Alligator mississippiensis: one gene and its partner. The protein of the gene in region 1 interacts with the protein of each later gene in a pairwise test. Links are inferred from orthologs where the notes say so. Each region holds a gene or a part of one and is shown on either strand. Other genes may lie near its edges.

Region 1 (15,117 bases):
AACCTGTGTACTCCCTCTTGGCCAAAGGGGCAATCAGCCTTGCCCCCTGCCACTGCACCTCCCCCCACCCCTTCTGGGCACTTCTTGGGATTGGGGTTCTGGATCAGACAGTATGAATACAAACTCCATCACAGGATCAGGCTAGGAGCTGCTCATCACTTCCAGGAGGCCCTTCCCTTCCCCAGACTCGCCTACTGCCCTACTTAAGGGAGTCACCAGGCAGGCGTCTCCCACTGGCAAAGTAGAGGTCTGACCAAGGGAGAGGCTGACCCCAGACTGGGGGGGCCTGTGTGTGTATTATGGGGTGTCAGCCCCAGGGCAGTGGAGCACAGCAAGCGGGGGTGGGGGGGTGGGGGGGGGTGGCGGCGCGCAGCAGAGACCCCTGGCTGCCCCACACACCTTAAGCAGGATGATGTCAATCTCTGAATATTTCATGCCATTCACCAGGATGGGGATCAGCCTGCAAGAACAGGAGTCAGCGTGGAGGGAACCACTGTAGGAGGTGGGGGGATGGGAGAGGGAGGAACTGCCTGCCGACCCAAGCATGGGAGAGGGGGGTAGTTTCACATTGCTCAGAGAGAGAGAGAGGCAGGTCCAGCCTTCACACCCTTCCCCTCCTCCAGCAGCATGGGGGCTGCAGCTGGGAGAACACCCACTCTCAGAAGAACTCAAGCATCCAGGCTCCTACCCACCCACCCCCTGTAATGTGACCTACCAGACCCCACTCCCCACACAGAGCCAGGAGGGAACCCACCAAGCTCCCCTGCTCTGATTTCCCAGTCCAACTCCCCTCCCACAGTTGGGGACAGACCTCAGGAATCTTGACTCCCAACCCCACAACCCTTGCTCAATCCTGGCAAACCCCACCATCCTCCTGGAGCCAGGGAAGAGAACCCAGGTGTCTGGGCTCTGAGTCCCCTGCAATCTGATCCACCAGTTCCTACGCCCCTCCAAGAGCTGGGGAGGGACTTCAGAAGGTCCCAATTCCCAGACTCCACTCCCCTCCCCCTAAATCTATCCCAGTAAACCTCACTGCCATCCTGAAGCTGGGGAAGAGAATCCAGACATCTGGGCTACTGGTCAGATCCTCACCCACACCAAGCAGTGCCCAGTAAAGCCCCACCCCAGCCAGCAGGGAGGGGATGGAGGCAGGGACTCACTGTACTAAGTGAGAAGTCAGGGCCTCCTTGCAGATGGGCTGCTCAGCCAGTGTGAGCCAGAACTCACAGGCCTCCAGCGCCACATTCTCATCGCTGTCCTGAGTGCGCTGCAGCATGTACTGGAGAGATGGAACTGTGTCACTGGCGGTGACGCATAGGAGGTGCATGTGCACCCCCTGACCAGCCACGCTCACAGCTTAGGTGACAGGTAGGGGGGGCAGGTGGAAGTGCCGGCGCACCCCCTGCAAGTGCCAGCTGGGGAGTAAGAGCACCACGGCGCTCCCAGAAGCAGCCGTAGCCACTTCTGGAAGTAGCTGCAGCGATCAGCTCCAGTCAGTGTGATTGGCTGCAGGGGACCCCCCAGTCGCTGACTGGTTGCTGGGGGGCAGAGCACATTGCCTCCCCCCCTTCAGACTAAGATAGCACCAGTTGCCCATGCATGTCATCATCCAGCTGCAGGGCCCTAGAGCCTCCCCCCAGGGCTAGGCCCACATCCCTCCATGCCCCGAAGGAACTGCAGTGGTTGGCAGAGCTAGGTCAGAGCTTGGAGGCCTTGGAAAACTGAGGCAAGGAGCCAGTTGTCTGGGACCCCCACCCCCAGCAGGCCTGGCCCCAACCCCCTGCTTGAGGTGGGTCAGCCCCATGGCCTCAAGTACAGATCACACTCCTCCCCCACCACCTCCTCCAGCAAAGGCTCACCTGGATGATGCTGTGCATGTGTGGGATGAGACGGTCGATCCGCACCTCCAGCAGCATCACCAAGGCCCGGCACACGTTCTTCCGAACCTCAGGGTCTTCATCCACCGCCAGAGCAAACAAGTGCTAGGAAGGGGGAGGAGGCAGAGCTGAGACTACCTGGAGTCCACTGTTGTCAAGCCCTGCCCTCCCAGGGATGTCTGCTGGAAGGATTCACCCTGTACCAGGCTGCTGGGAGCAACTGCAGGCCACAGGGATGCCCTGGACACCCCATCCCACTCCAGCAAGATTGAGACCCCAACAGCCAGGGCCACAGAACAGGTATCAGCCCTCACCATCCCATGACCCCTGACAGCCCATAGACAACAGGAGACAACAGGTGCCTCTCGTCTGGGTAACAGTGCTGTTGTATCATCACAACCACAAGCGTGGAACAGGCTCCCCCCAGTCTGAAAACACATGGGGTAGGGAACACAGCACCAGGCAGGCCCTGAAGAGGTAGCGGGGGCAGGGGGAGAAGGCAAACTAGATCTGCCTGAGCTCTTCCCACCCCAGACTCTCACCTCAATGAAGGTGTCAATGTTATCCATCAGCGCCTGAGCCCGGTCCATGATGAACTGGTTCACGCAAGCGATGGCATGGGATCTGGGAGGTGGAGACCAAGGACTATGGCTCAGGCTCTTGTAGCTCCCCCCAACCTGCCCGGCCAGGTCAGGTCAGGGCTTGGGCATCTGCGCCCACCACACAGCCAGAACAAGGCCTCAGTTACCCCATAGGCTGTGCTGAGGTGAGAGGAGCCTTGGGGAAGACGTGGGGAAGGAGCTGACCCCATGGCACCAATCAAAGACCCTCCCCCACCTCACCTGGATGACACCTGAATGGGAAGGATCAGTTATAAATACATGTTAGTGGGTGGGTGGGGTGTTGCTGGACAACTTCCCTTCATTGCACCAAGGCTCTGATGCCAGCCCAGGGAACAGATAACATTGGGGGGTGGAAGGGAAAAAAAAAAAAAAAAAAAAAAAAATCAGCAGGATCCCAGCCCTCTCACCCCACACAAGCCAGCCAGGAGCCTGTGGGCAGCACTCCCACCTGATCTTAGGGCTGCAATGCTTGAAGAACTGCAGGAACTTGGGGATCATGACATTGAGGGGGCGATTGAGGGCGTCGCTGTCCAAGAGCTCCGACGAGTCCTCGCAGATCTTTTGCAAGGCCCCAAAGGCCCCCTGGGTGCCGCACAATGGGGTTAGAACTGGGATAATGGCCACAAAAATCAAGTGGGCCAAGCCCACTGGAGCACTCCACAGCCAGTCTGATAGCCAGATCTGAGACTCCACACTCCCCCAACCCCATCCCCTTCCAGCCCCAACCCACAGTGCCCCAGCCCTTAGCTGGCCAGTGCAGAGACACCTGCCCTGGTAACCCAGCCTTCTCCCTATCCTATCCCATACCCCAATACCACACCCCACAATTGGCAGATGCAGACACCTGCCCTGATGACCCAGCTCCCTCCACCTTCATTTCCAGCCCCCAGTGATCCAGCCTCAGATGTCCCCACAGCTGGGAACACAGACCCACCCCCCCACCTCGCAGGTGTTGTAGTCCTCAGAGTTAAGCAGGTTGCACAACTGAGGCAGCAGCTCTGGCCACATCTGCAGCTCCCCCTTGGAGGCGATGGTGGTGATGAGGATTCCTGCAGGTGGAGGCCAGCTGCAGGTCAGCCCCAGGCTGCCTCCGAGCCCGAGCCCACCCCCACCAAGCCCTGCCAAGGGCCCCCAATTCCCCAGTTCTCACCAATGGTGGCGCGAATGAGGGAGGAAGCATCACCAATGTTGTTGAGACACTCCTGCTTGATAAACTCAGCCACGGGCGGTGGAAAGCTCTGGTAATGAGCTTTGACATTGTTCTTCAGGATGAGCCCACTGAGGGAGCGCGTTGGCTCATCTGTGCCACCGGGGGGAAGAGAACCATGGGGCTTCTGTGACTGTGGCCTCCAGCCCCCACCCTCTGCCAGGCTGGGAACCCAGAGCCTATGGAAAGTAACAAGCCCTGGTGCCTTGAGGCTCCCTGCAGCACCATCATCCCCAAAGCATCACCAGTAACAGCCCCACCCCACCCCACCCCCAGACCTGTGGGGAAACCGTGTCCAAGCCCCAAACATCTCCCTCCCAGGGACCTCAAGGGGTAGCAGAACCTCATAGCAAGGTCAGGTCTGATTAGCTGCCAAGCAGGGTGTCCACACAATGATATTTCTCCCACACCCCATGTGTCCCTGCTCCAGGTGAGCTCCACGCATCTGTAAATCCTGCCAGCCCTCCCAGGTGCTGCCACGCTGAAATGTCCCAGCCAATGCATCCCTGCTTTGGGAGGAGCTCCACGCAGCTGTGCCAGGGTCTCGCTCTATCCTCCATGCCCCCAGCCCAGATACCAGTTAAGGACCAGCTGCCCCCTGGCATCCACCCCACCTGGAAGCCCAGGTTGGATGCTGGGGGCCATGACAAGCCCCGAACCAGTCTGAGACACTGCCCCTTCCCCAGCATTGTGTCCCTCCCCACATGGCCAAGCCTAATATGTACCTTCTGATTTCAGCCTAGTCAGGACGAAGATAAGATAGTTGTTGAAATCTGGGAACTGATTGAGCTGTTTCAGTTTCTGTGGTGCTGGGTTAAGATCCAAAGATCTAGGTCTGGAGAAGGCAGCTGGGGCTCTGCCTCCCTCTGGGCTTGGCCTGGACCACAACACCCACTTTTTCCCCTGCACAGGAATATCCCCTGCCTTAGCTACATAGCTTCCAGCTTACAAGCCCACAGCCCTCCCATGACCTCTGACCCTGGGCATCAAACCCTGGTTTAAGGATACATCCTGGACTATGCGCTGCGTGGCCGTGTTAGGTGACTGTGAGTCCTTGAGCAGCTGCAAGACCTGCTGCAGCCCCTGCTCATCTGGTTGCCAGTCCATGGCAGGGGGTAGCTGCAACTGTGTGGTAAGAAAAGGAGAAGAAAAGAGTGGTTACCACCAGCCAACCTGGCCCATTGCCTCCCCACACCTAGCAATGACCATGGCTGCAAGCCCCTCTAGCCACAGAGCACAGATGGGGCTTAGGGCAGCAGGAGGAAGACTCCACAGCTAGGGCCCCCAGCCTGGGAAAGACCCAGGGTGAGACCAGGCTGAAGCCAACCAGGCCCCACAGCTGGGGTGATATGTGCAGCTGCCCCAAGGAGCCTCATGAACAGGGAAAGCTTTGAACCAAGACAGTAAGAGAAACCAGGGCCAGAGATGGCAGCTGGGGTACAGGATACAGGGAGGAAGAAAAAGGAAACCTATCTGGAGGATAAGCAGGGACTGCATGGGGAGTTTCCCCAGCTCTCCCTTGGCCCCAGCTGCAGGGAAAGAAGGGGGGGTGGCATCCCCCCACACAACAGCCACATGGGAACCTGGACATCCCACTTCCTCCTTGCCACCCCCAACCCCACCCATACCCACCTCAACCCCAGATCCCAACCCACAGCCTCTCTAATCCCCAGGGTAACAAAGCTACCCCTCTCAGTCCCCTACACTCCCAGCTGGCCTGACCTTCTCCCCCAGCTCTCCAAACCCAGGACCAGGCCTCCTCTCATTCCCACTCCACAAATAATCAGACCCTCAAGCCCTTGCTCCACAAACCCAGTCTCCAAGCCACTTCACTCCCCTCTGGACTTCCAAAGCCACCCCCAACCCCAGGTCCCCTAACCCACATGACCCAAGCTGGCTGCACAGCAACCCCTTCACTGCCCCTGAATCAAGCTTTCTCTGCACCAGGGGAACTCCCCCATCCTGGGATCCAGCCCCCCCAGCTCTAGGATAGAGCCCCCTCAGCCCCCCGCATCCTAGGGGAATCCCCCCACTCCCAGGCACCAGATGCAAAGGGATCCATCCCCCACCCTGGAATAGAGCACCCCCAGGGGAACCACCCCAGCTTCCACCCTGCCCAGACCCCTGCTTCCAGCCTCTAGGGGATTCCCCCAGCTCTGGAACAGAGCAGCCCAGAACCTAGGGAGACACCACAGTGCCCAGCTCCAGCAACCCCCAGCCTCTAGGGAACCCCACCCAGCCCTAAGATAGAGCCTCAGCCCCTAGGAAATCCCTGACTCCCAGCCTCTGCCCTCCTCCTAGCTACAACCCCTAGGAACCCCCCCAGCTCCCAAACCTGGCTTCAAGTCCCAGCTCCAGCTCCCCCGCACCTAAGGGACCCCCCCCCCACCCCAGACCCCCATTGCCCCCAGGCCCACGCGGAGCATCCCCAGGGGCGATCCCAGCAGGCCCCCGCGGCCCAGCCGCTCCGTACCTGGCTAGGGGGTGCGAGGGGGGAGGGGGGATTGGTGGTGGCGGCGGCCCGGGCTCGAGGCGGCGGCGGCGCGAGGCAAACGCGACACGCGGGCGCTGACCCCAGCCGGCCGCCGTCCGCCGAGACCACGTGAACAGCAGGGACCGGAGCAGGGGCGGGGCGGGAAGCGCGCGCACGCGCGCGGCGGGAGGAGGCTGTCACGTGGTCAGGGAAAGGGCGGGGCCAGAGCGAACGTCCGCACACATGCGCGGAATCAACGCCTTCCGAAGCTCCGGGACTGTGTTTCCCAGGCTGCTCCGCGGCGCGTGGGCGGTACCATTTCTCGACAGGCACGGGGGGAGGAGGAAAACGGCGTCTCCACCACATTCCCCTCCCCCCCGCGGAGGGCCGGGGGTGGCAGCGTCCAACCCGGCCCCGGGCATGGGGAACTGCCTGTCATCGCAGACGGCCGACGACCTCTCGCTGCTCAACGACTCGGCCGACGGCGCAAGCCTGGGGCCCGGGGCCGCGCCGCCGCCTCCCTACCAGGTGCAGCGGGGAGAGGGGGCGCCCGCAGCGGAACAGCCCGGGGGCGGGGGCGAACGGGAGGAGCAGCCTCGGGCCCATTAGAGGGGGCGTGGCCGACGAAGTGGGCGTGTCTTATAAGGGCGTGGCTGTAGGGATGGCTGAGTTTGGGAGGGGGAAGGTGGGGGGGAGGGGCCATTAGCGATGGGGGCATGGCTTAAAGGGGGGCGGGGCATAAAGGTTTGACTTCGGTGGCTGGGGTCTGAGGAGCTGGCCTAGGTGGGTGGGGCATAGGGTGTAGTTTGTAGGTGGAGTCATGGGCGTGGCCAATGTGGCTGGGTGACAAGGGCATGGTTCCTGAGGGAGGGGGCATAGCCTATGGACAGTCATGGGGTGTGGGACTTGGACAGGGTCATGGAGGCATGGCCTGTAGGAATAGGGGCATAGCCTACAAGGGCAGAGTGGTGCTAACCTGTATGGTGTAGGGGGCATCCCTATCAGGTGGGGGCAGCTGTGGGGGGGCTTCTGGGCCCCCTCTTGCATAAGTTGCAGGGTAGTATCTGGGGATAGGGCTTCATCTATAATATGCATCTTGGTCCCTCCCCATCCAGGAGCAGGCATCAGTGCCCACATACCACTCTGTGCCTGGGCAGTCGTGCCTGGCAACGCAGCTGACCGAGGAGGAGCAGGTCCGCATAGCCCAGCGCATCGGCCTCATCCAGCACCTGCCCACAGGTGTCTTTGACCTGGGCACTGAGCCCACTGACCGGAAAACCAAGGAGTAAGTGTCCTCCAGCTCTGCCCATTCTCCCCACTAGCCCAGCCCTCATCTGGGGGTGGGGAGAGGAGCCCCAAACCCTGCCCTTGTTCTCTTCCTTTGGGCCTTGCTAAGCCCTGTAGCAGGGCAGAAGCCAAGCTGGGGATACAACCCAGGTACCATGTGGGGAGGCAGGGCTGGGGATAAAACCTGGTGGGGGGTGGGAGGCGTCTGCTTTTATTTGCTAGTCTCAGGATGCCTGGGTTTTGTCCCTAGCCTGTGGGTCACACCTTGCCTCCCCCACCACAGGTGTGTGATCTGCATGTTGGACTTCGCCTATGGGGACCCAGTGCGGTTCCTACCCTGTCTACACACCTATCATGTGGGCTGCATTGATGACTGGCTCATGCGCTCGCTTACCTGCCCATCCTGCATGGAGCCCGTGGATGCTGCACTGCTCTCCTCCTATGAGACTTAGCTGGAGGAGGGGAGGAGAGAAACAGAACATTGCTGGCACATATGTGGGGTGATTTTTGCACCTAGAAGACACCAAAGATGCCTGCAATTGCCCTAATTCAACCCCTGCTTTTGGCTCAGGTGCTTCGAAAAGCTAGATGAGGCAGTTCTCTTCCCAGGTGCCTCTGGGAGGAGCAGCCCCAAGCCAAACCTGGGGGAGCTCATGGGGGTGCAGGGAGGGGGGGAGGAGCATATTCCTGCCCCTAGTCTAGTGGAGGGGTGCTGAGCTCCAGGAGCTGGAGTCGAAGATGGGGCTTGCAGCCTGTGGTGGACACTGTTTTCTTCCCTGGGGCTGGTACCTGCCCTGCCTAGATCTGGGAGCAGGCCCTGGTGCACCTGGGAAGCCAACCCTGGCCGTTATCCCCTCCCCAGCCTTGTAGTGCCTCAGCCTTCAGGGCTGGGGGTCCTGGCTCCAGTCCCTCTCCTCTGTCCGGACAGGCAGCCCCTTCTCTGCAGCCATGGGGTCTCTCAGAGGTCATGAGCATTAGCCCCACCCCATGGCGCTACCACTCCACACTGTTCCAGGGGCATCTTTGCCTTAGATATGGAGTCCCATCTCCTCCTCCTTCCCCTACAGCTGCCCCATGAGTTGTCAAGTAATTGGCCTTACCCAGACTGGGATGCTTGGAAGGGGGGGTGACTGCTGGCCTGGCTCTCACCGTGGGGCCACCTGCCCCAATCCCAGCTGGTCCTTGCCAGGGAGTTCAAAGGGAGATGGATGCATGTTATATTTGAGCTGCACAATAAAGATTATTGTCTAGAGCTGCCTGATGGGTTGGGGGGGGGGGGGTCAGGCACTATCCTGGCTTCTGTGCCCCAGAGCATGTACCTTTGTGGGGCAGGACAAAGCCCTCTCTGCATCCCCCCCGCCCCCCCCAAATACCCACCTGCTTCCTTCTTTCAGTGCTTGGGACTCCTGGGCTCAGACATCAGGCTGCCTTCAGAACCACAGCTGGAAACAGCAGCAGCTCCATGCTCCTCTAGCAGCCTCCTTTTCACAACATAGGCCACCCCCCATACAGCTGGCATCTCTTATGTTCCAAGAGAAGATACCAAATGGGAAACAAGGTTGGGGGGCTCAGGGCCTCTAACCCTCCCCACAGCATTCATGGCATCTCCCATGCAGGGACACAAGCCGGCAGCCTGGGACTATAGCCAGCACCTTGCAGCCAGGGAGGGAGCTCTGAGAACAGGGCAATCCAGGACCAGAGCAAGGCAATGACTGGGCACAGAGGGTAAAGTCTAGGGGCTCCTGGCATCTCAATCCTAGATGCTTCCAATCCATGGGGGTCCCTAAGACACTCTCCTGGCTATGGGGCCACCTCCCTGGCTGGCACCCTCTCACCCTAGGTCTTCCCTAGGCAGACCTCATGGCCAGGTCCCCACTCCCTCTGCATCCAGATAGATGGTCTCCTTGCTGCTGCAGCCTGCCCCCAACAATCCCAACCCCATCCTCATCTCAGCAGGGAGTGATCTGCAGCCACTTGGTCCCAGCTCAGCTAGCTTTGCTATAAGTAGTGTCAGGGGGAGTCAGTTCCTCTGTGGAAAGCCACTCACCTCAGGTACAGCAGAGCTCAGACTTAGAACTGCCCGCACCACATGCCAGGGAAGGAGGCACCAAGCCGGGGTCTGTACAACGGGGTTTTATTTTAAAAAGCCGGTGCAGTAAGAACACATGGGTGGCTTGGTGCAGAGGAGAGTACAAGGATATGGGGGCTGCTGAGGTGTACTAGGGCTCCCTTAGGGACAAGGGGCCAGAAAAATTCAGGAGAAAAAAAGAGGAGCTCCAGGGGCCAAGGGTACAGTGGGGGAGGGTGTGTGGGGGGGGAAGCTGTTCTAAGGCTTGAGCACCAAGCAGTAGCTCCCAGCTGCCCCCCCTGCCTTGACTAAATAGGCTGGGATCCCCATACCCCCTTTTTCCTTCCCCCACTACAGGGGGGTGGGGGGGTGAGGAGTGTCTTCACTAGAGAGCAACATCACTGGTGCAGTGTAAGTGGGGCTCCCCCACAAGCATCCAGGGTGAGGGCTTGGAACAGCCAAGGAGCCAGGCCTGCCTGAGTTTCTGGGGGCTGGCCATCCTCTTCCTCCAGGGGGGTGTGAGATGGCAGCAGAAGCAGTTCTCATGTAATAGGTCCCATCCGCACCACTGAGGCTTTCTGTGGCTGGAGCTGTCACTGCCAGGGTCTGTCGGGCTGGCAGGACTGGGCTCCCCCCAAGCAGGGCAGGTGCTGGGTGATTCCAAGGGGTGGAGACCGATGCCTCCAGATGAAGAGGAGACAGATGAGGCAGTTGCAGGAGCCTGGGAGCACCTACCCCTTGACTCCTGGGTGCAGGCAGGGAATGTACAGCACCAGGCACCTCCACAAAGAAGTCAGTAGCTTAGGAAGATCCAAGGTCTTTAATGACTGGGAATGAATGCAGCACCTGCCCCTGCTCCAGCACGGAGGGAACAAGAGGGCAGGGGGAAGCTGGGTCCCAGCAGGATGGGCAGGCTATGCCATGGGCCACTGATGCGATTGTCCGGGGAGCCGCACTGGCAGGGGGGGAGGGGGGAGCGCCGGAGTCCTGGCTCCTGGGAGAGTCATAGAAAACAGGGATCCCCATCATCAGGCAGCTGCAGCTGGGCAGGGAGGCACCGGCGAGGGGCAGCACACGCCTTTCCACCTTAAATAAGTATGTACAACACACAAAAGTCCTGGCGACCAGGGCTGGGGCTAGATCTAGACCAGGCCAGGCCCCACAGCAAGCAGCTACTTCACCAGGGGGCGGGTTTTGTCATCGTCACTACACTGATGAGCCTTGTACTTCTTCACTTCAGCCATGTACTTGGCCCAGGCATCCCCTTTACTCGTCAGGACCTGCAGAAGGAGAAGGGCAGCTCAGATGCCAAGCCCAGAGCCACATTTCACCACAGAAAAAGGGTGGGTGGGTGGGTAGGGGGGAAAAAAGAGGGACTGGGCCCTGGCAGCAGCAGGAAGACCACCCCTCCCCAAGATCCCACCACCACCAGTCCTGCTCCCTTCCCAGAGCTAGGAAGCGGAGGGAAGGACCCCTTCCCCACCAAGCTGGGGATGGAAGCCAGGAGCCCCAGCACCCAATCCATCCATCTCCTGGATTTACTACACACCAGGAAAGCCCCTGGTCCAATGCCTCTCCCCACCCCCCTCAACCATACCCAAATGGGAACCCAGCTTTTAGCAACCTTGGGGCTGCTCCAGGTGTCCCCCACTGCCCTGGAGCCAGCATGGGCATCAAAGCAGGGGCTGAGGGACCCCAGTTCAACCTCAGTGCATTGAGCCAGGGTCTCTGCTCAAGCTTAGCTACCTCACCCCCACCTTAGGCCCTTCCCAGACAATCACACAGGAGAACAGGGTCACACTTACATAGGCATATTGAGGCACCAGAAGCAGGAGTAAGACTTCCCAAAGTAGCCACAGAAACACTGCCCCTGCCATCCCAGCCACCCCCCCCAACCCCCTTTTACCTCCTCCTCCATCTTTTGTTTCTTTGCTACCACTCCCGTCTTCAGGGCCAGCTTGTTGCCCCCTCGCCGCCGGCCAACCTGGGAAAGGATAGAAAGCAGCCAATGTTACGAGTGCCCCTGCTGCTGGCACTACCTGTGCCATGGTATAGAGAAGGCTGGGAGGGTGGGAGTGGAAAGTCAGCCCAGGCCTGAACCAGTGCTGTTCCTAGAGAGATCTCTAGCTTCCCAGCTCAAGCAGATCCCCTCAGGCACTGCTTCTCTCCCCTGGAAGTGCCTCCCCTGGCCGTAGCACTCACCCCCAGGGTGAGGCAGCTGCTGGGCTTTACGACCACAAAGTGGTGGCAGGAGCTGGGCACTTGCTCTGTGGAAAGCTGCCAGACAAAGAGCTATGGGACGCGCGCCTGCCCGTGGCCTGCCCCCCCTCCAACTGCTGGGGCACCAGATGAAGGCAGGCAGGGCTGGTCGAGGCAGCCTGTCAGCAGGAACAGGGAGGGGGAACAGAAGAGCAGAGCAGAACAGTGGCAGGCAGAGACACTGCAAACAGAGCGAGGGAGGTAGGAGGAGAGGCAGGAATAGATGCTGGGAAGAGACAGATGAGAAGGAGGCCGGGGCAAATAAGCAAAAGAAAGATGGGCAAGAAGAAAGGGAAGTCAAAGATGGGGGGAAGGGGCACAGACCAGAAGGCAGCAAGAGAAGGGGAGTCAGAAGCAGGTAGGGAAGGAGCCAGGAGTTCTGGGGACGGGACGGCCCAGGCAGGTGGGGGAAGGGCGGGGCCGCCGCAGTGTCGGGGGCAGGTGGGGGAGGAGAGCGGGGTCTTACGAAGCCGAGCGCGCCGCCGCTCTTTTTCCTCCCGTCCGCCGCCGCCGGGGGCTGTTGCTGCTGGTGCTGTTGTTGCTGTTGCGGCGGCTGCTCAGCGCCGCTCCCGGCCCCGGCCTCAGCCCCGGGCCCCGCGGTGTCGGGCGCGGCCCGTCCGCGTTGCTCGGCCTCCATGCGGCGCTTGAAGAGCTCGAGGAAGCTGCCATCGTTTGCAAAAACATTAACACCACCGCCGCCGCCGCCCTCCCCGCCGGGGCCCCGCGGCACCGCCTCCCCCCGCTCCCCTTGGGCGGCCATTTTGTCACCGGAGCGCCCCGCGCCGCGGGCGGTGACGGGAAAAGCCAGTGCCGGCCGCGAGGCACGCCGGGAAAGCAGGCCAAGCCGCAGGCGCGCGAGGCACGCTGGGAAAGCCGCCGGCGCTTCTTGTTGCTAGGCATCGGGCACCGCAAGGGGCGCCGGGAGGGAAAGAACCAGGAGATGGGTGGGCGCCGGCACCAATTGGAACGCGACTGGCAGCGTGCCGGCCAATCCGCTGCCAGCCAGCTCGCCTCGGCCGCCTCCTCGCTCCCAACAGAATAAGGCGGGGCAGACCGACAGTTCTGAAGATCGCCCAATCTTGCCAGCCGAGGGGTGGGGTTTGATGGGGCCAATTCGCGTAGGCGGGTTTGTGAGGGAGCCAATCTAGTGAGGAGCGGGGCGGGACGGAGTGTACCACCCCTCTCCAGGCCGCGGGGGCAGCATTGAGCCGCTGCCGCGGTATCATAACAGCGGGAAATTCAATGCCGGGCTGTGGCGGGGGTAAAACTGCGGCGCTCCCTCGGCTGCGAGGAACCATGTGGTTTGTTTTTTTTCTCCTATTTCCCCCCCTTGTCGAATGGTCCCAGCGTGGGTCACGTGCAGCCGTTCCAAGATGGCGGCGGCGGGGTCCGGGTCCGGCTGGGGGCCGGAGGCGGACGAGTTCGAGGACGCTCCCGATGTGGAGCCGCTGGAGCCGACGTTGAGCAACATCATCGAGCAGCGGAGTCTCAAGTGGATCTTCGTGGGGGGGAAGGGGGGCGTGGGCAAGACCACCTGCAGGTGAGGCGAAGGGAGGGGCTTTTAATGTGGGATGTACTACTGTGGGTAGAAGGGGGGAGTAGGGGCTCTACCATTGCCGCGTGGGGTGGTTGAGTCCTTCTGGTGTGCAGAGAGGGGTTGGGAGGAACCATTACAACGGGATGAGGGGGTAGGTACCATCGCTGTAGAGGGGGTGTGGCAGCAGGGGCCTGGCTGGGATATGCCATGAGAGCCTATAGGGGGCGTCGTGGGGGAGGGGTAGGTTGTAGGTAAGGGGGGTTTGGGATGTACCACTGCACCGGGCAACTGGTCTACCTGAGGGCATGGGGTGTACCATTGTGCTAGGAATGGGGGGGTATGATTGTGTGGGGTGCCAGGAAGGGAGTGGTCTTAGTGAGGGCATGGGGTGTACCACTGTATCATTGTGCCAGGTAGGGGGTCTACTTGGGCTGTACCACAGTGGGCAACTAGAGAAATAGACCCCTTGCAGGGGAACTGGGATCTACCATTGCATTTCTGTGTGGGGGGGCATGAGCCCTATGCTGAGCAGTAGAGTCCCCAGGGACCCTCCAAGAAAGCTCCCCATAGGTTCCTGTAGCTGCTGCTTGCTCTGCTGACCCCCGGGTCCCCTCTCTTCCCCCACCAGTTGCAGTCTGGCTGTGCAGCTGTCCAAAGTGCGGGAGAGCGTCCTCATCATCTCCACTGACCCAGCCCACAACATCTCCGATGCCTTTGACCAGAAGTTCTCCAAGGTGCCCACCAAGGTCAAGGGCTACGATAACCTCTTTGCCATGGTAAGTGCAGGGTTGGGCTCCATTCGGCACTCCAGGAGGCTGCAGCAAGGGACCCAGGTGTCCCGCTCCAACCACTGCTTCCATGTCATGCATAGGACTGACCGCATCTGCCTCAGCTCACCCCCTTCCACAGCCAAATGCTACTCTGACCACTACCCCCTTTCCCATCTTGGAGCAGGGACCAGGGGCTGTCCTGGCCCTGCTCTGACACCTGGGTCAGCCTCTGAGTCCCCTCCTCTTATCTGTCCCCTCCTTGCAGGAGATTGACCCCAGCCTGGGGGTGGCAGAGCTCCCAGACGAGTTCTTCGAGGAGGACAACATGCTGAGCATGGGCAAGAAAATGATGCAGGAGGCCATGAGCGCCTTCCCGGGTATCGATGAGGCCATGAGCTATGCAGAGGTGATGAGGTGAGCCAGGGTCACCAGCCCCAGGGGCTGATGGAAGGGACTTTTATACGGGAGGTCCCATGACTGTAGTGGGGGTGAGCAAGGTAGGCTTTTGACTGGAGATGTGGAATGAGGTTGTACCACTTAGGTAGAGAGGGGGTAGTATGGAGGTACCATTATGAAGGAGAGTGGTATTATAGGCTATAGCAAAAAGGGTCTCTGGGTTGTACCACTGTTGCCACTTGTTGGTGGGATGCTGGTTTGGACCATTAGGAAAAGAACACTGGGGGAGGGTTATACTATTTCAACAGTAAGGGGCTGCTCTGGGATGTACCATTTCTGCCTGGGGGGCATTGCTGGGTGGGGTCCCCCCACCCCTCTAACCCCTTGTCTGCCCCGGCGCAGGCTGGTGAAGGGGATGAATTTCTCCGTAGTGGTGTTCGACACGGCGCCCACGGGGCACACACTGCGGCTACTCAACTTCCCCACCATTGTGGAGCGGGGACTGGGCCGCCTCATGCAGATCAAGAACCAGATTAGCCCTTTCATCTCCCAGGTCAGGAGGACCAAGGTTGGGGTCACTCATACCCCGCCTCCCACAGCACCTTTGCTCTGCTCTCAGA
Region 2 (14,886 bases), on another chromosome or scaffold:
GCAGAATTGCAAGCAGCCCAACCTCAAAGCCAGGTATTCCCCCTCAGAGAGAAAAAGGGTGGCTGTCTTAAAATTGGGGACTGGGCACTGGAGATGGAGTTGCTCACAGACTGAAAAGAGAAAGCCTTGCACTGCTACTAGAACAGTTAGATACTGGGAGTAAACAGGGAGTAAAAGGAGTGATGAATGAGCTGGAAAAGCTAACTAGCTGGTATAGAAAGGCCAAAGCAGAGAGAACAGAAATTTGGAGTCCCAAGTGGAACCTGGGTGCCACAGCCATGAACAGACAGAGGCAAAAGCAGTGGCCTCGCAATGCTACATCATGCAGGTAGCAGTGGGGCTAGAGAGGGCTCAGATAAATCTGGCTGAAGCTCTACAGAAACTGAAACAAGCACAGGAAAATGATGAGAAAGGTGGGGTAGGGGGCCCAGAGCTATGAGAGGCAAGACTGGGGCCAAGGATTTTAGAGCCTGAGGGTTGAGACCAGGGTCCAGGCAGTAAAAAGTGGGGCAAGACCAGGGGGCCTCAGCCCAGAAGAGGGCGTAAGACCCGAAGCAAAACCTCTCTATCCAATTATCACACCAAGGCATGGCACGAAAGACACCAGGTGAGACCCTGGGAGGCCAGAGGAGGGGAGCAAGGCAGTACCCAGGCAGCCACTAGGGGTGATTTCACCAGACCAGAGCTGGACATGTTACAGTCTCATTAATGTGTATTTACTCAAATTTATGCAAAATGTACGTGTGCTTGTTTGTAATTGGAGGAAACAGAAGGTATGCTGCTACGTCACGTTTGCTTTCTTTTCTGCACTTTCTCCTCCCTTATCTGCCTGTGGTTTCTTTCCTGTCTGTGGTGATTGCTGCTGTGTGTATAAGTTGAGGCATCCTCTGTATTATACATTGCTGAACACACACTGCTAGTGATGAATATCTAGTTTAAATCTTCTACACCTGGTAATTTTTTTCCCCCAAGGGAAACATCCTTGTTTTGTATTTTGCATTCAATTAATCTGGCAAACGTACATTTCTAGTTGTAAACATCCCTTTACAGTAGGTTATACAGCATTACTAAACTAAAGTTGCCATCTTTTCTCTCTCTCCCAGGATGAGCTGCATAACAGAGACGAACAAAGTTTTAGACCCTAATTTTGTAACTTGGGTACTGAAGTTAGTAGCAATTTCGGGTGAATATGAAACCTAAATTTCCTTTCCAAATTGTGGCTTTAGGTTTAATTTTTAGCACTTAGCTTCACACTTTGGACAAAGTTTGCATATTACAGTTCACAGTGAAGTTATAATTAGAATTCAAAGAGTACTTTTACATGCTTAAAGTACTCTGCAGATAATAATTATGGACATGAATGTCACTAACAGAAAAAAAACTAGACAGAAAGATGAAATGATGTACCATAAGCAATAAAAGGAACAGAATCAGGATTAGAAATATACATGAATGGATAAACATATCTATCTATATGCTACATTTAAAATGATAGTTTAAAGAAAATTGTTAAGGTTGTCAGAATTCAAAAGCTGAAATGGATACAGAAATTATGTACTTTGCAAAAGCCCAGTTTGGGTAAACAAATATCCTCAGTGACTGTTTCAAAAACATTGAAAATTGCATTGAAAATAACATTTAATAAAGATAAAGAAAATGGTCTATTCCAAAAATTAATCCAATTCAAAACTTCAAAATGTTTTCCAGAATTAGTTATGAATTTTTCAATCAATCAGTAAGCCAAAATTTAGTTTGCCTGGAAAAACCTACTTTGTGTCTACAAGCTGTTCTTTACCTACTTGGCCGCCCACTATTTTTTTCTCAGATTTTCTGCTATATTTAGTGCACAAAACAGACACTGGTCAGGGAAAGTGGCAGCCCTTCAAAATCTTTTTTTGTCTTAATCACTGAACATGTTTCCTATGTGATATGTACTACACAATTCACCCCAATTATGTGGCACCATTACATTTTGTGGCATTTTCCATGAGGCTCATTAACACAGTATCTGAGTCTCTCAAATATTTTGTATTCATATTCACACCTACTCTGTGGGACCTTGTGTTAGGAAAGTGTTAAGTCTGGTCCAAAAAATGATGTACAAGAGGCAGAAAGGGGGTGTGGGGGAAGGAGGAAAGAGAGGGAGAGGAGATGGGGGCAATGCTGGGAGAGGCAAACAAGCAAGCAATAAACCCACAGGAACAAAGGAGTCACAAAAGCTAATCCAGGTACTGCGATAAAAATCCATGGTTGGAAAAGATTTTCAAACTGCTTTAGAAAATGTGCAAAGCTGTCTACGTCTTTAGGGTAACTCAGTGATTGGATGCCCAATTCTACACACTCAAGACTTGTTTTCAAAAACTTCCTAAAGCATCCACTGCTTCCATTGACTTATGTTTGAGTTGTGAGCCCTTAGGCAGATCCTGCTCAGGACTTCTGACGTTGGACATTCAGAACATGGAGAGAGACCATTTGTAATCATTTTTATTGAAGTGACAGGCCCAACAGTTTACAAATCTGTAGCACAGTCAGAGACACAATCTGGTTCTTAATCTCAGTTGACTGCCTTACCCACCAGAGCGTTCTTTGCCTTAATCCTGGAGCACCTATTTTCTACACTAAATGGAGCAGGAGTTGCACAATGACCTTTGGTGCCTGACACTTTGAAAGCAGCAAACAGGCAGCAGCCAGGTGCCTGATGAGGGCAGCCATTTCAGCCTGGGGATATAAACTGGGCTGCAGATTGCTGCAGGAAGGAAGGAGGAAACATCAGGCTGAGAGGCTGCTCCAGCCAGTCAGGAGGTAAAGGCAGGAGGTATGGGGAGGAGGTAACCCCTTGTCCTGGGTAAGATGTAAAACTGCACCCTGCTGGGGAAGGGTGGTCTGGTGGGGCTCCTAGTGGTGTGGGAGCCCCCACGAAATGCCAGGCCAGTTACCTCCCTGATGAATGGCAGGTCAGGGCACCTTATAACCCCAGCCCCCCATCTCTGGTGGTGCTAGCAAGCAGGGAGAGTACAGGGCTTGGTCGAGGAGCCATGAGGCAGAGCTTGGGCTAGAGGAGGGACCAGAGGCTACAGCCAGGTGGCAGAGGAAAGCCTGGGGGCATGAGTCAGGCCCCGTGTGAGAGGGGCGATGAGTAGAGCGGCCCATGAGTGTGGGTGAGTGAGGAGGCCCAGTGGGAGTATAGTGGTCTGGTGAGGGGCTAGGAGTGAAATAGGCCTACAGTCATACAATGGCTCAGTCAATACTGGAGTGAGGGTAGCAGGAGATACCCAATAGACTGTGCTGGGGCTGACCGAGGTGAGGAGAGCTATGCCTGAAGCTGGGTGAGGCCGGGCAGCATGAGTGTGGCCCCTGAGAGAGGGCAGTATGAAAGAAGCTGGGTGAGAGCCAGTGGAGTGAGTGGGACCCTGGTGAGAGAGGAGTGGTATGTATGTGAGTGGGCCTCCGGGGCTGTAGAAAAGAGCTACAACTGTGTGTCCAGTTTGCTATGGCCATAGGCCGAAGAAGTAACACCTGCGAGGCATGGGATCTGTGGAGGGAAGGTCGGAGCAGGTATTAGGCCCTTGTCAGCAGGGTGAGAAATGGGTAGCCTCCCGCCTTAGTAACAGCTTTCATATTTTTCCATTAAGGTGTGGCAGACAAGTGAAGCGAGTGGTTACCCCAGGAGCAGGGCAGGTGGCGAAGACCTGATGAGGCAAGCCTGTTACAGTCCTCATTTATTGTACAACCATAATACATTTCCTAAGCACCATTTATCTTAAGCACTGAATGAGATTATATCGAAGAAGAGAACATAACATCATCTCGGTATTATCAAAGATAGTTGTTACATGTACGCCTAGGAATCAACCAAGACTGGGCCCCATTGTGCAGAGTGTACACAGACCTTTGTTACTTTTCCAAGCCCCTGAATCCAGCCAGGCTCCAAATGGAACATTTTATGTGCAAGAATCCCAAATGAAGCAATGAGACATGGTTGTCTCTGTTGTGGGGCATGTCGCCTTGTTAATTAAGATGTTACATAGCTTGAAAAAGAAAGGGAAGCCTGCCTTCAAGCAAAAAAAAAATCTTACATTAGTCCCAGTAAGGAAGCAGTGCCATGTAGAAGTATTGGAGCTTGCTCTAAGTTGTCTACATACTGCAGAATGGATCTCTGCATGGACTAAGTTACCTCATGTGCAGCATAGACATGTCCTACAGTAGAAAAGAATTGCCCTAGCTGAGAGATTAGCAAAACTGAGGTCATCATCTGGGTATGATTCATAGATTCATAGATGTTAGAGTCGGAAGGGACCTCAATAGATCATCGAGTCCGACCCCCTGCATAAGCAGGAAAGAGTGCTGGGTCTAGATGACCCCAGCTAGATACTCATCTAACCTCCTCTTGAAGACCCCCAGGGTAGGGGAGAGCACCACCTCCCTTGGGAGCCCGTTCCAGACCTTGGCCACTCGAACTGTGAAGAAGTTCTTCCTAATGTCTAGTCTAAATCTGCTATCTGCTAGCTTGTGGCCATTATTTCTTGTAACCCCCGGGGGCGCATTGGTGAATAAAACCTCACCAATTCTCTTCTGTGCCCTCATGATGAACTTATAGGCAGCCACAAGGTCGCCTCTCAACCTTCTCTTGCGGAGGCTGAAAAGGTCCAGTTTCTCTAGTCTCTCCTCGTAGGGCTTGGTCTGCAGGCCCTTGACCATATGAGTTGCCCTTCTCTGGACCCTCTCCAGGTTATCTGCATCCTTCTTGAAGTGTGGCACCCAGAATTGCACGCAGTACTCCAACTGCGGTCTGACCAGCGCCCTATAGAGGGGAAGTATCACCTCCTTGGACCTATTTGTCATGCATCTGCTGATGCACGATAAAGTGCCATTGGCTTTTTTGATGGCTTCGTCACACTGACGACTCATGTTCATCTTGGAGTCCACTAGGACTCCAAGATCCCTTTCCACCTCTGTGCCACCCAGCAGGTCATTCCCTAGGCTGTAGGTGTGCTGGACATTTTTCCTCCCTTGGTGCAGCACTTCGCATTTCTCCTTGTTGAACTGCATCCTGTTGTTTTCTGCCCACTTGTCCAACCTATCCAGGTCTGCCTGCAGCTGTTCCCTGCCCTCCGGCGTGTCCACATCTCCCCATAGCTTTGTGTCATCTGCAAACTTGGACAGAGTACATTTCACTCCCTCGTCCAAGTCACTGATGAAGACATTAAAGAGTATCGGTCCAAGGACCGAGCCCTGCGGGACCCCACTGCTCACACCCTTCCAGGTCGAAACCGACCCATCTACCACGACTCTCTGGGTGCGACCCTCCAGCCAATTCGCCACCCACCGGACTGTGTAGTCATACAAGTCACAGCCTCTTAACTTGTTCACCAGTATGGGGTGGGATACCGTATCGAAGGACGACATCCACCCCTCCTCCTGTGTCCAGGCGTTTCATAACCTGGTCATAAAAAGAGACTAGATTGGTCAGGCACGATCTGCCTGACACGAACCTGTGCTGGTTTTCCCTCAGCATAATTTGTCCTGCTGGGCTCTCGTTAATGTGAGCCTTGATAATTTTTTCAAAGACTTTGCCAAGGATGGAGGTGAGACTGACTGGCCTATAGTTGCCAGGGTCCTCCTTCCTCCCCTTTTTGAAAATGGGGACCACGTTGGCCCTTTTCCAGTTCTCCGGGACTTGGCCCGTGCGCCATGAGTGTTCAAATATTCCCGCCAGTGGCTCTGCAATTATGTTGGCCAGTGCCTTCAGCATCCTCGGATGGAGCTCATCCGGGCCTGCCGACTTAAAGGCATCCAGTTCTTCCAAGTGAGCATCCAGTTCTTCCAAGTGAAGAACTGGATGAAGAACCCTAAATGTAAAGAGTCATCTGAGGACCATTAGATCATACCCTATGACCTCCTGTGTATCGCCGGCCATTGTATTTCACTGCCATATTTAACTCACTAGCTGTTTCTCTATTAATAACCAGCAGTAACTAGACTGATACTGTATTAATTTGTATTGATCCTAAATATAAACCAAGAGTTAATGACCCTAGGCACTGCACACATACATAAAAATAAATTACCTGAATGCTGGCATTTTCTAATCTTTGCAACCTTAACAATGTCCTTTTGTAGATGATACACATATACACACTCATACAGTCCTGTTACACAGAGGAGCTGTGAGGAAGTGTGATGCTCAGTAAGCCCAGAATCTTTGGAGAGGGCTGTTGCTGAAAGTGAAGCTTCACTGAGCATCTGGGAACCTCAGCTTTTCAAAGGGCTGATTCTCACAGGGACAGCAAAATGCCACCCTGCTGCATTGGGCTGCTCCTTGCCAAATGTCTAGTCCCTGTTTCAAAGGTATGGAGGCACCAGACCTGTTTAAAAAAGCCTAGCAGATTTCTTTCAAACATGGAAAAAAAATGCCTCTCTCTCCAGCCTCCTTCTCAGAAAAAGCTCAATTATTTTGGGTGAAACATTCTAATTAAACACTCAGCCCCAGGCTAACACCTCACATGGAAAACGTCAGCCCAAGGGTTGAAGCATGGCAATGTTGCAAGTCCCTGCATGTTCTGATCTTATGAACAGGTGCAGTGCTATGAGCCCCAGCAATAATACCCAGCATGAGAAACATACACGTGAACCTAGGGAAACCACAAGCTCTTGCCCAGGTTTTGGATAAGAGACAAGGCATGAGAAAAGGCACTTTGCTTCCAGAGGCACAAGAGATAGATAGATAGACAGATATAGATATTTATCTTTTCCAAGGTGACATCTATTTAGCTATCACCTTAGAAAAGATAAATATCTATAACTAGATATATCTCTATATATGTATCTATCGATCTATATAACTGTCTATATCTATCTATATATATGTAGCTATCAATCGATTGATCACTCAGTACATATATAGGGATATATATAGATATATAGAGAGATATTTATCTTTTCCAAGGCCAAACCAGTTCCAAATTCGATTGGGCAAAGCCCAATAGCTAAGTTCCAAACTTCGGCTAAGTAGAGCTCTGTTGCCAAGTGTGTGTGGCATCCTCACTCCCAGACCCCTCTTTCTGAGGCTTTGGATACATCCCAAATCCAGGCAGGCATCCGACCTGCCAGCCCCAGGCCTGGATACCTTGATGCTCACGGTCTCCCTTGATCTTAGCCAAAGCCTCAAGGCACCTGGGCAGGCGCTGCATAGAAATCCACACGCAAATCCACCCGGGCTCCCATCCCCACGTTGTGCTAAATACTCCAACACAAATGACATCCGCCCACCAACTCATCGCAGCTCCCCACGCGGGACGTGGTTAGGCCTCCCACTGGGCAACGCGCCCCCTTCCCCACCTTCCCACCCAAGCCGAGAGGAGATCTCGCGAGACAAGACGCAGGCGGCTTCTCTCCTCTTTGCTTCGCCGGCCGGAGGCTGCGTGCAGACAGTGGGTTTATTATGACGCCACAGAATGGAACGCTGCGGAGGGCGGGCGGAGCCACCGGGGCGGGGGGAGGGGGTGGGGCGCTGCAGCAGGAGACCCCCCCCCGCCCTAATGCAGCCCTTGCCCAAAGGGGCGCGAAGCAGGCAGCAGGCTCTGTCGAGGGGGCTCGGTCTGAGGCACTAGCCTGCGCCTGTTGCCTTGCCCTGACTCCCACCGGTTGAATCCCGTGCCTCAAAAGCAGCGGGGACCCCAGGACACAGCCCTGAGCACCTCCCCCCGCGCCCTAAGGTGCTCCCATGAGGGGAGCGCGCCCCGCCGCTTCCCCGCCTGCGAGGCGGCGTCACTAGAGGGAGTCGTGGGACAGAGAGAGCGGTGGGAGGTGCTGCTGCCGCCGTCACCCTCCCCTTCCTCTCGCTCGGGCAGAGCTACACGGGCTGTGACCCGGCGCCCCCGCCCCGCCGCCTCCCCTCTCCCCGCCGGGCTCGCTCTGCCCGTCGCCGCCGCCCCGCGCGGGGCTGAGCCCGGGGGGCAGGACGAGAGGAGCGGGCAGCGCGGGGGGAAGGCGGCGGGAGGGACTGAGGGAGGAGGAGAGGCAGAGCCTCCAGTGTCGCCGCGCTCATCCTCCCGCCTCCTTCCGCCGCTGCTGCTGCTGCCGCCGCTGCTGCTCCCGCTCCCGCTCCCTGTCTGCTGCGGAGGCCCCGGCGGCAGCCCGGGCTCGCGATGGCTTCGACCACTACCTGCACCAGGTTCACCGACGAGTACCAGCTCTTCGAGGAGCTCGGGAAGTAAGAGCAGCTGGGGCTGGGGGGGAAAGGGGGCGCGTGGGGCAGGAGGGAAGTGAATTAGGGCGTTGACAGGTCAAATGGGGGGCATGCAGGTGTCTCTGCACGGCACCTGGCTGGGGGTCAGCTCCATCTCCATCCAGACGGCAGCCTGGGGGGCACCCCACGAGAAGGAAAGTTCAGCCCCGGGCTGAGAAGGGGTTATTTGTCCCTCTGCTCTGTCAGGTCCAGAGAGGTGAGTGGCACGAGCCCTCCCAGCATGCACAGGGCCCTGGGCTCCCAGTGCCTGCCTCGCATTGGGGAGCCCCCAATGATATGGAGGCATGCCCTTGCCCGGATCCCATTTGGCCTTGAAACATGGAGCCTGGGCGGGCAGATGGCAATGCAATGATGCTAAGGCTCCTGGGCAGTGTCACGGCGGGGGGCATCAAGACCTTCTTGCTAGCCACGCCAGTGGGCTCGGCTCCCGATACCCATTTCGACCTAATCGCCATGTTCAGAGAGCTTTTTTGGTGGTTGTGGTTTCCCACTGATTACTATGTTGCTGCCTGTCAGGGAAGAGGAGGGGAAAGATACATGGTTATGTGTGTGAGCCCCCTCCGCTGAAACAGGACTTGAACTGCGTACTGACAATGATGGGACTTGGGCTCCCCCGCTTGAAAGAGCATTTTTTCCAGTTGCAGTCTATCAAATTTGTGGTGATTGCCATTTTTTTTGTCCTGGTCATTTTCCTGTCTCTTTCCAAGCATTTCATTCCAGGCAGGGAAAGCATTGAAATTATTTGAGTCTTTATCCAGGATGACTGATTCTTGTCTGGTTATTCATTTGCAGGGGAGCTTTCTCAGTGGTGAGAAGATGCATGAAAATTACCACAGGACAAGAGTATGCTGCCAAAATTATCAACACCAAAAAGCTCTCTGCTAGGGGTGGGTATATTTCAACCCAGCATTTTCAGTGTCTCCCCCCTCTCCCCAGTCCTTGGGTTTTTTTGCTTAAAATAGCATTATGTGAACCCCTTCCCCTTCTGTCTTAATTTTTTAGTCTTCCATTTCTCTAACATGCCGCTTAGATTTTTCTCTTCTGCTGACCGACTGTATTTATGAGAGTGCTTCTCTAGCATGCTAGCAGGAAAGATGGATGGATTCTGAGGCAATTAAAAAAAACAAACCCTTCTGCTTTCAGTTTTGCATACAGACAAGTTTGAATATCGGTCTGGCTTTCCTCCTCTTTTTAGTTTTTGATAAAATAAGTTCTTGCCGTAGCTCTTGTAGAAAAAAAAATAGGTCAGAGCTTAATTGAATCTCATTTTTCGCTGTATTTAAACATGAACTTAATTCATCGAGGCATATTTAACAGTGAACGCCTTCAGAGAAAAATGTGATCAACTACACATGCAGTATTGTGTATTACAGAAGAAGTGGATTAGTCATAATTTTATGAAGTGCTTTATCACTGCTATAATCCAAATGCTTAACCCGCTTATTTATATTTTTTCTTATGTATGCATGGGTATGCATTTTATAGCTGTATGTGCAGTCAGTATATAGGTGTTCATAGTATATTGGAGAAACTATGGGCTTACCATGTGTTAAGACTGCTGAAAGTAGGCCTTCTGGTGATATGTTTGTGCCTTGATAAATCCACACTAAAGTGCTTGTAGTAGGATGTTGGGGATTAAGGATTATTCTCTGTCAACATTATCTGCACTTTCATGTGAATTTATGCCTTTATGATGAACACGGAGATGAATGAACTAACATTGTCAGTGTGTAATATGGCCAGGTTTACTCTTTATATGAAGGAAATGCTGCAGATGGACAGCAACCTGATAACATTCATTAACTTAAAAAATATACAAAGTTTTACTTACAATGACATACTTGTTAACTTTTATTGCTGTTCTAACTGGAGAGGGTCTTTCAAGTTTTCCATTCTATAATCTAGTTTTTAGTTCAGTAGAGGACTGTAAAAGTTTACTTTTCCCTTTATACTGAATATTTAACCTCAAGTTCATAATGTGAGAGAAAGGTGTACAGGTTATTATGTGAGAGAATTATTTTTTTCCTTAGCTTTTTAAAACCATATTTTGAGCCAATCCCCGGTCATTGTTATGGTTTGCTTTAAATGGTTAAGAATATTAATAACATGATTTGAGATGTGTTTTTCACTGTTTTTCTTAAAACAGATTTTGATTTTGATTCCACCCCCCCATAAGTTGTTTATTTGGAAATTTAAAAGTACAATAAGCAAAATACTGATAGTTACAAAATATTTTAAGTTTTTTATGACTCTTGATTGAGAGCTAATAAGGTCAGGATCAGTTTGTTAATGAATTAAGGCTTACATATATCGCATTTATAGTTTCTTTAAAAATATATTGAAGAAACTGTATTAAGGTTGCCAAGACTGCCTTAAACTCCAGTCAAGGCAGTCTGAAGTAAATGCTTCTATTTTATACTTTCTGTACAGTTTTGTGTATGAGACCATGTTTATTCCTGGTGTAACTTTTAGATTGAGTGGAATTATACCATGATGAGTTTAGCCCATATATGTAACGCAACAAAATTGCACACAGATTTTGGACTCTTGCTTTTTCTAGGAATTCAGAACCTAATTCCCTTGTTTTTGGTGGAATTAAACTCTAGAGCTGGATAATGATTGTGAGCACCTCATTTTCTGTAGGGACACTTGTGCATACGTGATGTGTTATCAATGGGTGTAAATGAGTATCATGGGGAGTACTGTCTTTCTAGCACTGCCTGCAGAGCTTTGTACCGAAAATTGCCACCAGGATGTTTTGCTTGCCAATTCTTTTTCAATTCTGTGCTTCATATCGTGACATTAGCTGTGTATATAATAATTCCCTTATATTTTGGTGTGTACACACACGCACATGCCGATATACACAGATATGTCCATTTGCACATATCTGTAAGGTTACATGCACTCAGTCTGTTTTGTCAGGTAGATAATTCCAGGGTAATCAATAAGGGTATTACTTTAAGGCAGAGTTTAATAAGGACTTTAAGCATTTGTAATTTCTAGTATATTTAAAAACATTGTTATGGTGTGTCTATCTACAAAGTTGTCTCCTATGACACAGAAGCTATACACTGAAGAGCATCAAACTGCAATATATTTTATCATGACCGATATGATAATAATTTATAGATTACAGTTTAGATACTACTTAAAATTGTAACATTATTTATCTGTTATTTTTTATAATATTTTTCATTGTGAGATGGAGCAATTTCTTTTCATCTGTTCTTACTATAATTAATAGATTTATCTGGTGCTTGAAGTCATGTAGTCTGCTCTTGTCTTTGTAAATCTAAAGGACACTTCATAAAATGAGCTTCGTCTGTCTGTAGAGAGTACACACAAGACCCTCTGCTGTGAGGGAAATATACCCTCTAGTGACTGGCTCTCATTGATGTAGTTTAGCTAAATTCACATTGTATGTAGCAGGCCTTCTTCTGAACCATTTTTTAAAGGGATTTCAGCAAATAATATGGGGAAATGTACCTTCTTTGTTAAAAAGAGTTATTTATTAACAGTAATTTAAGACGCTTTCATTCTGTCGTGGGTTTCTATTAGTATTGTTCAGTCATAACAGCGCTTGCCCCCCACATGTATTTTCTTTGAACTTATCCGAGCAGTCACATTCGCCCAGTGCAAGGTACTAATCTGGTTACAGCAAGTTGTTGGTAAATGTGTTCTCTCTCTAGTTTTCATAAAAAATAGAACTTTTTTTACACAAAAGTTTTTTAAAAGACTCCTGTACATACAGTGGTGCATGTCTTTTTGGTGGCTTGTTTACCCATTTTCCCCAACACTTTCTGTTTCTACCACTTTTTATTCATGGCCATTTTTGTATAATAATGTAACATGTTATAACAATTTATAACAATATATGTTAACCGTCATCCCTGCTTCTCAGAACAGTTTGATTTTCAGATTGATGACAAATTATTTCTTATACCTGAAATATGCCTATTTATCACACTGCTATCTAAACTTCAATAGAAAAAACTACTATTGTTGAAATAAGGTAATACTATGAAAAAGAGATGTGAATTTACATGGTTTGCTGTATTATTAAAAAAAAAAGAAAGACATGCTGTCTTTTATGAGTTCTGGGATTTTCTGCTATTTTGTTAATTTGAAATACTAATACAAGCATAATATGAATAACAAATAATAGTAATCATTACAATTCACTTTAGCAATAACATTTGTTAGCTATATGTTACTTAATATTTATGTTTCAGAATTCATATTACAAGCTTCATTTGGAAATTGTAGTCTTTTCAGGGAAGAGTAAATTTAATTTGGGTTGTTGGAAAAAGAATAGTAGGCTTTCATTACCAGAAGAGTGCATTCTAACTAAGCTTGCCTACATGAATATACCACAGATGGACAAAAGCATGTATGACTTGCCTTCAAAGGGAAGTGGGATAGTGAGCAAGCATTATGGGGAAAAAAAAAAGAAAAGAAGAGCATATTTTTGCTGCATTTGTCTTTTATGTTGCTTCATCTTATACAGAGGGTTCTTATATGTCCAGTTATTTTTATTAAAGTGTGATCTGAGTGTTTGTTTAGAGCTGTTCTCTTTGTGGCTATATAGCAGGATGAATAAATTGTGCTTCTTCGAAATGTGTTCCTTGACTAGGCCAAACCAATAAAAAAAAATTTAAGAAAATTAGACACCTCATTTTCTTAAATACTTTTTATTTACAAATCTTTTTGGTTTTTTGGCCTTGTTCCTACAATTAACTTTATTCAGACAGATCTTCCTGCTTTTGTAGATTGTGTTGAGGGATTGGGTCCTTAGTCTTCAACTACAGTGTCTGTGGTTCATGGACAATAAGTAAATAATATGAGACATTTTGTTAAGATTTCTGACAATCTCTGTAATTGCACTGAAAAAAAAATCAGTTTGCTCACAGATTTTTTGTAGCATTCAGCTTTTCACTAAATGTAAATTTGCATTAGGGCGGCAATTGCCAAAAATACTAGTTATTGGCTGCCTCTGTGAAAAGAGGTTGGTGGTAGAGTCCAGTTCCTGGTGGTCTTTTTTCATTTTGACCGTCAGTTAGCAGCCCCTCACACCACTCCACCATTTTTATTGTTGCAGCAGAAACATGAATAGACATCTGCTGTCTGTGCGAAACAGTTATATTAAGAAAGGTGCAGGTATCACTTGGGGATTTCTGGTTCTCTGTCCATTAGCCCTAAACCAAAGAACACCAAAGCCCATGAGAGTCTTTCCATTATATTTAATAAACCATAGAGACTTTGACTACTTGCTTATTATCTTTCTCAGCAGGTCTTCTCCCAAATCCTTTCGGTATCTTCTCTCTCTTTTTTGGAAGGGAAATACTGGTTGCTTTATACTAAGTGGTGCCATACAGGGCCTGAGGTAATGAGACAAATTGTGCATTCCTGTGACTAGCTCCAAAAGAGTATTCAAGCTTAAAGGACACCCTTACCTTCTTGGAAAAACGATTTGATGGGAGAGTGTGCAGACTTTTGCCATGTGGACAGAATGATACAATGTCTAAATCTGTCTGTGTAAAATTTTTTGTGATCCCTGAAGTGATTTACAATACTGTAGGGAGACAACTGGTAATGTGAAGCATATAAAGAGAATTTTTCAGCACAGTATTTCATGGTAGAAAGGGAAAAGTTTTGTCATGTTACCAGACCACTGGTCTGTTTAGTCAGGCATCTTGTCTCTGCCAAAGCTGGGTGTTTCATATGAATCCAAAACCTTGTAGAAATATGCCTAGGAATCCAGCACTATATTCTACATGGCAAAATTTCTTCTTGACCCCAGCCCCTGATCATTTTACTCCCTGAAGCATGAAAATTAATAGACTGTGGACTTCTGCCATTTTAGTATAACTGCAGATGCTGTTTTTATTCATAGTCATACCTGTACCCCCCAAAAAAACAAAAATAAAAACCCACAACAACCAAATAAAGCCTGATCATATAAACTTTAAGAGTACTTAACTCTCACTGAGGTAGATACTAGTTTTGTATGTATGTGGATTAAAAGTTGAGAAACAAAGCCATTTGTTCATTTAATAATGCCGTGTTCTGTTTCTTACAATGTTAATTGTATTTGGTAACATTTTTTTCTTTCATGTATAAAAACTCTCATATACAAAATGTAGGTATGCTGTGTCCCCTGAGATGGATAGGTATACCACAGACATTTTTACGAATTCATTTGCAAACTTCCTGTTTTTCTAGGTAGATTGCTGATATGTTTTCTTTTTCTAATCATTCAAAATCTGAGTCTGTTCAGAAGCTTTCTAAGACAGGAGTGTGTAGAGGTTTTGTACTGGGCCATCAACAAACATTTACTTTGTAATTGAAGGGATGTTAGTATACTGGGTCAGTTTCAAGAGACGGTCTGTTTTTCTGTGCATCTCAGTCAGAAGTGCCTTGTTTGGATTTTGGAGGTTTGGGGCTTCTCTGCTTCTGGTTTATTTTTAGAAAAAATATCCAAGAGCTTCTAAGCTATCTGAGAGCCTACAGAATCTTAAATTCATTGTTGAGTGGTAGTAATTTATTTTAATATCTAAAGCTAGAATTGAAATGACTGTTCCTAGCAGCTGGTAGATGCATTATTTGTAGCAAATCTCATGTCATTCCTATAAAGC

The links.
Region 2: the proteins of TNPO2 (region 1) and CAMK2D interact in binary tests that used the Homo sapiens proteins (3 or more experiments, as listed by UniProt). The two-hybrid records come from large-scale screens. The link is inferred for Alligator mississippiensis from reciprocal best matches to the Homo sapiens genes TNPO2 and CAMK2D.

The regions. Positions count from the first base shown.
Region 1 is NC_081831.1:22,828,491-22,843,607, reverse strand, and holds the start of TNPO2 (transportin-2), read right to left. Parts: upstream 6,320-15,117; 5' UTR 6,181-6,319; intron 4,833-6,180; 5' UTR 4,815-4,832; coding exon 4,716-4,814; intron 4,509-4,715; coding exon 4,433-4,508; intron 3,801-4,432; coding exon 3,651-3,800; intron 3,550-3,650; coding exon 3,443-3,549; intron 3,083-3,442; coding exon 2,949-3,082; intron 2,502-2,948; coding exon 2,420-2,501; intron 1,983-2,419; coding exon 1,860-1,982; intron 1,280-1,859; coding exon 1,161-1,279; intron 461-1,160; coding exon 400-460; intron 1-399. Other genes in the region: RING finger protein 11, read left to right, coding at 6,601-6,708, 7,296-7,465, 7,751-7,919; TRIR (telomerase RNA component interacting RNase), read right to left, coding at 10,708-10,815, 11,442-11,519, 11,738-11,812, 12,261-12,554; ATPase GET3, read left to right, coding at 13,132-13,334, 13,960-14,107, 14,367-14,515, 14,900-15,065. UniProt on the Homo sapiens protein: Probably functions in nuclear protein import as nuclear transport receptor. Serves as receptor for nuclear localization signals (NLS) in cargo substrates.
Region 2 is NC_081825.1:124,906,209-124,921,094, forward strand, and holds the start of CAMK2D (calcium/calmodulin-dependent protein kinase type II subunit delta), read left to right. Parts: upstream 1-7,609; 5' UTR 7,610-8,147; coding exon 8,148-8,212; intron 8,213-9,040; coding exon 9,041-9,135; intron 9,136-14,886. UniProt on the Homo sapiens protein: Calcium/calmodulin-dependent protein kinase involved in the regulation of Ca(2+) homeostatis and excitation-contraction coupling (ECC) in heart by targeting ion channels, transporters and accessory proteins involved in Ca(2+) influx into the myocyte, Ca(2+) release from the sarcoplasmic reticulum (SR), SR Ca(2+) uptake and Na(+) and K(+) channel transport.